Saccharomyces cerevisiae S288C: one gene and its partner. The gene in region 1 interacts genetically with each later gene. Each region holds a gene or a part of one and is shown in the gene's direction. Other genes may lie near its edges.

Region 1 (4,727 bases):
AAAGGCAAAAGAAAGAGAAGGAAGCCAGATTGAAGGCAAGGAAAGAATCTTTGATAAATAAGCAAAAAACCAAGAGGTCCCAGCAAAAAAAATTGCAAAATTCCAAATCATTGCCTATCTCTGAGATTGAGGCCAGCAATAAAAATAATAATAGCAATTCTGGTTCAGCAGAAAGTGATAATGAAAGTATAAACAGTGATTCTGATACGACTTTGGATTTCTCTGTGTCTGGTAATACACTAAAAAAACACGCTTCACCCCTATTAGAAGACGTTGAGGATGAGGAAGTTGACAGATACAACGAGTCCCTAAGCAGATCTCCCAAGGGAAACTCTATTATTGAGGAGATATAATGGGTGATAATACATACTCCCCATCTTTCATTTTTACGGCATTAAATAACTAATTATATGCATCTTATATACTACTATAATTCACTGACTTTATGAAAGGAATATAAATCGGCACGGCAGAAGGCGGATTTATTTTGTTACAATATAACAAAATAAAAGGGCAACAGTAAAGTAGAAATTATTAGTATCCGTGATTTTAGTACAATTATTTGCTTCCTAGAAATCCGGTTTTCCATGTTAACATTTATGCTAGTATTTTATGGTGGAATGGCAAGTGATTCACAAAATACAAGCTACTTTATCGAATGATTGAAATTCATTTCTGCTTGAATAGAATTCAACTATCGTTTATCGATTCTATTTTGAGGATTCCTATACCCTCGAGGAGAACTTCTAGTATATTCTATATACCTAATATTACTACTGTTATTAACAATGGAATCCCAACAATTATCTCAAAATTCACCAATATCTCAATTCCATCTTTAGAAAAATTAAGTTCAAATTAACGGAAACAGTAATCAAGTAAAAGAGCTTTTTTTTTCTTCTCCCCTTCCTGCCCTGAAGATAATTGAGTAAATGTTACGTTGAGAATGGCTTTTTGATATTTCATTAGATTTACTTCATTATTCTTCTCTATTCTCCCCTTTCATCAATTAATTGGGCGTGTGGCGTAGTCGGTAGCGCGCTCCCTTAGCATGGGAGAGGTCTCCGGTTCGATTCCGGACTCGTCCAAATTTTTTTACTTTTAATGAGGTATACTGGAATATTACGGCTCTTTTTTTTTAGAAACATATTCCTCAAATGGGTAAACGGACCCTGGTGCAAGGTGTGGGTGCTGAGACAAATACGATCTGAGTTGTTTTAAAAAGGAAAACAAATGAATGCGTGCCCAAAGCGGAAAATTGGTCAACATCGATGCGTAATTAGTAGGCCCAGGTGAGCCTGTGCCGAACATGTATCTCTGCGCAGATTACTATATATTCCCGAGCATAACAGCATATAGTTTTCTTTCACATAGGCCTTCCTCCAACTGCCATCACTGTACATAGACGTTTCGGCACTGTATATTCTTGTCCCTTTTTTTTTGCCTACTACATTGCTGCATTCAAACGATATCGCTCTGCGAACCGTTTAAAACTGACCAAAATAGGGAGACCTACCTTCTAAGGAGAAAAAATTCGCATTGCTAAAAAAAAGCTAAAAGAGAAAGAGAAGAAGAATATTAAACCAGTATATTCTACTACAACTATCGATTTACTCCGACTACAAAGTGCCTCTTCGTATTTTCAGTCGCTCGAAAAAACAACCCATATTCCATTTGATTCTACGCAGCTGGTAGAAACTTTTACAGGTTTGATAAAATTATTACAATCGTTAGCGGTTACGCAAGGAATAGGAAATAAAGAAACGGTAAATAATAAGAAAAACACAGCAGATCTAAGCCTATTGCACACAGTATATTATAACCATTACTAGCTAGTGTTACATAAACAATAGCAGAATATGTCTGTGCGAAACCTCACCAATAATCGTCATTCCAACAGCGAAAATAGTGTTTCCGGAAGCGAAAACTCCTTTTATTCCTCGAATGAGCAATCAAGACAAAGCTCATCATTAGAACCTGCAGATGGTCAGAACGTTAGGGTGAGCGGTAATCCTTTCCTTGGAAGTGAAGAATTTGACGAAGATTATAATTCACCCAGTGGAGACGATGAGCGGCGTGGGGCAAATGAATATTCCAGTTCTTCATCCATAAATTATAATAACGATCCTAACAGCGATACTTCTCTTCTGGCTAATGAAAAGAACTCACCCGAGAGAAATGGTCAAAGAATGTCAGACTATAAGGGCTATTATGCTAAGACTAACCTAACTTCTGCTAATAACTTAAACAATCATAATAACAATAATTATAAGAACATTATAAGCAGTAGTAACGATAATAGTTTTGCATCACATTTACAGCCGCCGGACAGAAACTTACCGTCTCATCCTTCTTCAAATAATATGAGTAGCTTTTCTAACAACAGCTTAATTAAGTCTCCACCACCTTTTGACAGATATCCGCTAGTAGGAACGAGGCATATTTCAGCGGCTCAATCTCAGTCGCAGAACCTTATAAATGAAAAGAAAAGAGCGAATATGACTGGCTCATCTTCTTCTGCTCACGACTCTTCATTATCATCCACCAACTTATACATGGGCGAACAGGATTTTTCGCCCTTTGGCGGTTATCCAGCTTCCTTCTTTCCGTTAACGTTGGACGAAAAGGAAGACGATGACTACATTCATAATCCAAATGTCGAGGAAGAAGCAAAGTTAGATAGAAGGAGGTTCGTTGACGACTTCAAACACATGGATAGAAGATCTTTCTTGGGGCTTCTGGGTATTCTATTTTTATTTATGGCTGGTATATTTATTTTCATTGTATTACCTGCAATTACATTTTCCGGGGTAGTTTATCATCATGAACATGTTCATGCGGCAAATTCAGCAGGATCGTCGTCTTCTAATACTACATCCAAGTCATTGACTGAATATCAATATCCTCAACTTGCGGCTATAAGGACAACTTTAGTTGATCCAGACACACCTGACAGTGCGAAGACAAGAGTAGCGAAAGATGGATCTAAATGGCAGCTGGTGTTTTCCGATGAATTTAATGCTGAAGGTAGGACCTTTTACGATGGCGATGACCAGTTTTGGACAGCTCCTGACATCCACTACGACGCTACGAAAGATCTTGAATGGTACTCACCAGATGCCGTTACAACTACAAATGGTACCTTGACGTTGAGAATGGATGCATTCAGAAACCATGACCTTTATTACAGATCTGGTATGGTACAGAGCTGGAACAAACTCTGCTTTACAGAAGGTGCGTTAGAAGTTTCCGCGAACCTCCCTAATTATGGTCGAGTTACAGGATTATGGCCTGGTATGTGGACCATGGGGAACTTGGGCAGACCAGGTTATTTGGCGAGTACTCAAGGTGTTTGGCCTTATTCATATGAAGCATGTGACGCTGGTATAACACCAAACCAAAGTTCCCCAGATGGTATTTCTTACTTGCCGGGACAAAAGTTGAGTGTTTGTACTTGTGATAATGAGGATCATCCAAATCAGGGAGTTGGAAGAGGCGCACCGGAAATAGATATTTTAGAAGGTGAAGCTGATACAATTTTGGGTGTTGGTGTTGCGTCACAATCTCTACAAATTGCTCCATTTGATATATGGTACATGCCCGATTATGACTTCATCGAAGTTTATAATTTCACCACAACAACTATGAATACTTACGCTGGTGGGCCTTTTCAACAAGCTGTCTCAGCAATATCCACTTTAAATGTAACATGGTATGAATTTGGGGAGGAAGCAGGTTATTTTCAAAAGTATGCCATTGAATATCTCAATGATGACGACAACGGATATATTCGTTGGTTTGTGGGAGAGAACCCTACTTTCACACTATATGCTACTTCTTTACATCCTAGTGGTAATATTGACTGGAGGAGAATAAGTAAGGAGCCAATGTCAGCGATTTTAAACTTAGGTATTTCCAACAACTGGGCCTATATCGACTGGCAATATATATTTTTCCCGGTGACAATGTCAATAGATTACGTCCGATTATACCAGCCGAAGGGTTCTACGTCCATTACTTGTGATCCTGAGGACTACCCGACATATGATTATATCCAAAGCCATCTAAATGCATATTATAACGCCAATTTAACTGATTGGGAACAGGCTGGATATACTTTCCCAAAAAATATTCTAACAGGAGGTTGTAGTAGTTCAAAATTCTCATTATCCTGAGGTTGATTTTTTTTTTTCAACTGGTTAAAACCTACTATCTAAGTGCGCTTTAATTCTAAGGAGGCAAAATAGTCTGCGGTCACAGTCGTTGAAAGTTCTAGATTTGGGTACGGAAGCAGCCATGTAAATGGTCTTCCTTTGTAATAATATCATCACTGGAGTTTTTAAATTAGAGTACGGATTCAAGTTAGCGAAAAATTTCTGTTGGTATCTGATAGCAATTTGTCGACAAGGTGGAGAGTTTTTGAAGTTTTTTTTTGTAACAGTTATGTTACACTATTTACCAGAGAAACACCAAGACAGGAGCCCTCAGAAGCTTTCGTGTTGTCAGAACATAAATATCTTCTATATGTTTTAATCTTTTATATTAATCAATATTTTATGTTAAATCATATTATTATTCGTTAATGGTTAACTTGCGCTATTTCAAAATTGGAAGGATAGTGTGGTTACAAGCGGTGTTTTTGATGTATGTTTACTGCTAAGAGTATACCGTCCTGTTTACTTTTTTACCTTTTGTTCCGTTATTGATTTTTCGCAGCAAGGTTGAAG
Region 2 (3,107 bases), on another chromosome or scaffold:
GTAACACACAATGAATCATCGAAAGAAAATAAAATTACACCCTCCATGAGAGCAGAAGATAACAAACCTAAAAATGGTTGCATCTGCGGTTCAAGTGACTCCAAGGATGAGTTGTTTATACAGTGTAACAAATGTAAAACGTGGCAGCACAAGTTATGTTATGCTTTCAAAAAATCAGATCCAATAAAAAGAGATTTTGTTTGCAAAAGATGTGACAGTGATACGAAAGTGCAGGTTAATCAAGTAAAACCAATGATATTCCCTAGAAAAATGGGAGATGAGCGATTATTTCAATTTTCATCCATAGTGACAACTTCAGCATCGAACACAAATCAGCATCAACAGTCTGTGAATAACATAGAGGAACAGCCCAAGAAACGTCAACTTCATTATACCGCCCCAACAACTGAAAATAGCAATAGTATACGGAAAAAATTGAGGCAAGAAAAACTGGTAGTATCAAGCCACTTTCTGAAGCCACTACTGAATGAGGTAAGTTCTTCCAATGACACGGAATTCAAAGCAATAACAATATCAGAGTATAAGGACAAATATGTTAAGATGTTTATTGATAACCATTATGATGACGATTGGGTTGTTTGTTCTAACTGGGAAAGCTCAAGGTCAGCTGACATCGAGGTAAGAAAATCATCAAATGAAAGAGATTTTGGAGTCTTCGCTGCAGATTCTTGTGTTAAAGGTGAGCTAATTCAAGAATATTTGGGCAAAATTGATTTTCAAAAAAATTATCAGACAGATCCAAATAATGACTATCGTTTGATGGGAACGACAAAACCTAAAGTACTTTTTCATCCACATTGGCCTTTATATATAGACTCTCGAGAAACAGGCGGATTAACAAGATACATAAGACGGAGTTGTGAGCCCAATGTGGAACTAGTAACGGTAAGACCGCTTGACGAAAAACCAAGAGGAGATAATGATTGTAGAGTTAAATTTGTTTTAAGGGCTATAAGAGATATTCGTAAGGGAGAAGAGATAAGCGTAGAATGGCAATGGGATTTGAGAAATCCTATTTGGGAGATAATAAATGCATCTAAAGATTTGGATTCCCTACCGGATCCCGACAAGTTCTGGTTGATGGGGTCAATAAAGACTATTTTAACAAATTGTGATTGTGCATGTGGGTACTTGGGCCATAATTGTCCAATAACTAAAATCAAAAACTTTTCTGAAGAATTCATGAGGAATACGAAGGAATCCCTATCTAATAAATCTTACTTTAATACAATAATGCACAACTGTAAGCCATAAACGAAATTTTAAAATTAATAGTATTCATTTTAATCTTTTTTGAAAGCTTAATTTTATCATCATAATTTTTCTTCCAAAACTTCAATCTTGGTATTTTTTTTCGCATTGGTCTTCATTTTTTTTCTTTTGTTTTTAGCTTTAATGTTGAAAGCGTGAATATCAAAACACTTTTATAATAAATCACCACTTTGTAACTATAGAGAACAATTCATGCTTTATTTATAGATGCCACGATTAAGCATCAATCATTAGTTGAGAGGATCCTTAACGTTAAAATCCACCGCACTTTTCCTTTCAAAAAGCTGCATTGTTTCCATAATTCATTTCATGGCAGGTTAATGACTTATTTGATATGAAGAGTGAGGTTCTTATCAAATGAAATTCCTACATATGAATTTTTTAAAAGAGAGTTTTTCGTTTTACGATATTTATTTACTTCATCATCGTTTATCATTTTTCACGTAGCAAATTTTGAAGCTTCAACTTATAACTCATTTGCATCCGATTCACATATTTCAGCTGACTATAAATTTGGCAACAGCTTCGTGACTTGAGCATAAGAAAAACATAGACTTGTTGGATATAAAATATGGCTCACAGGGCTTTCATACAGGTTATAATCACAGGAACTCAAGTTTTTGGAAAAGCATTCGCCGAGGCGTATAGACAAGCGGCTTCACAATCAGTGAAACAAGGTGCTACAAATGCATCTAGAAGGGGAACAGGAAAAGGCGAATATGGTGGTATTACGTTGGATGAGAGTTGTAAAATTTTAAATATTGAAGAATCCAAGGGCGATTTAAACATGGACAAGATTAATAACAGGTTTAACTATCTATTTGAGGTTAACGATAAAGAAAAAGGTGGAAGCTTCTACTTACAGAGCAAAGTTTATCGAGCAGCAGAAAGGTTAAAATGGGAACTGGCTCAGAGAGAAAAAAATGCGAAGGCGAAAGCAGGGGACGCTTCAACAGCGAAACCTCCTCCGAATTCAACAAATTCATCTGGTGCAGATAATAGTGCAAGCAGCAATCAGTAGTCAAGGAAGCCTCCATCATTACGTCACAAGTGTTATCGAAAGCATGCAGCAGTGCATATATTTTCCTAGTTGGTTGCTTCCTGTACGTTAGGAATCTTCAACCACCATCCTTGTATTTAGTTAATATTAGTATATGTACCAAAGTAAATATACTCAGATGCCATCTCGATATACGCACCGTACACGAAAATGAAATTAAAAAAAAAATGTTGGAGCACAAGCAAGGCAGCATCAGAACGTACCGTCAGTTGGTACCAAGACAAGTCCATCCCCGTAGGCACTACAAATTATGGGAATGAGAAAGTATACAAAATATAAACTGTCTTATCATGAAGAAGAGTCGCTTAGGAATTTAAACTTTCAAATCGCATTACGCAATTCTCTAAAAACGCGAACCTTTCCCTGATATGTAATCAGGGAATTTCCTCAGAATAATATTCGATCTAAGAAACCGGAAACGAAATGAAAATTGTTACTACTTTGTTTAGGAGTAGTCAAAGTTCATTCAGCTATGGGTTATGATGAAATGATTTAAATTATTCTCGCTCCAGTATTAACTTATTACGTAATATGAGCTTAAAAGAGCAAGCTCCTCATCACTCACACTCCATAACATGAAGAACGAAAATAACCTAATCTTTAGGTTTCTATGGTATAATGAAATTAATATTATCTAAAGATAGTATTAACCACTACTGATGTTAGCCTTTTGAAAAAAAATCAAAAGAAAAATTTGAATTTTAAAGAAGAAGTAACAAAGGGAAGAAGTTTTTGCCAATCGGACAACACTAGC

What was found.
Region 2: of SKN1 (region 1) and PAM16, a mutation in one rescues a mutant of the other (synthetic rescue), as found in Saccharomyces cerevisiae (one study listed by BioGRID).

What each region holds. Positions count from the first base shown.
Region 1 is NC_001139.9:773,334-778,060, forward strand, and holds SKN1 (beta-glucan synthesis-associated protein SKN1), read left to right. Parts: upstream 1-1,859; coding exon 1,860-4,175; downstream 4,176-4,727. Other genes in the region: BTN2 (Btn2p), read left to right, coding at 1-353. UniProt on the Saccharomyces cerevisiae protein: Required for synthesis of the major beta-glucans of the yeast cell wall.
Region 2 is NC_001142.9:225,463-228,569, forward strand, and holds PAM16 (import motor complex subunit PAM16), read left to right. Parts: upstream 1-1,864; coding exon 1,865-2,314; downstream 2,315-3,107. Other genes in the region: SET4 (Set4p), read left to right, coding at 1-1,275. UniProt on the Saccharomyces cerevisiae protein: Essential component of the PAM complex, a complex required for the translocation of transit peptide-containing proteins from the inner membrane into the mitochondrial matrix in an ATP-dependent manner.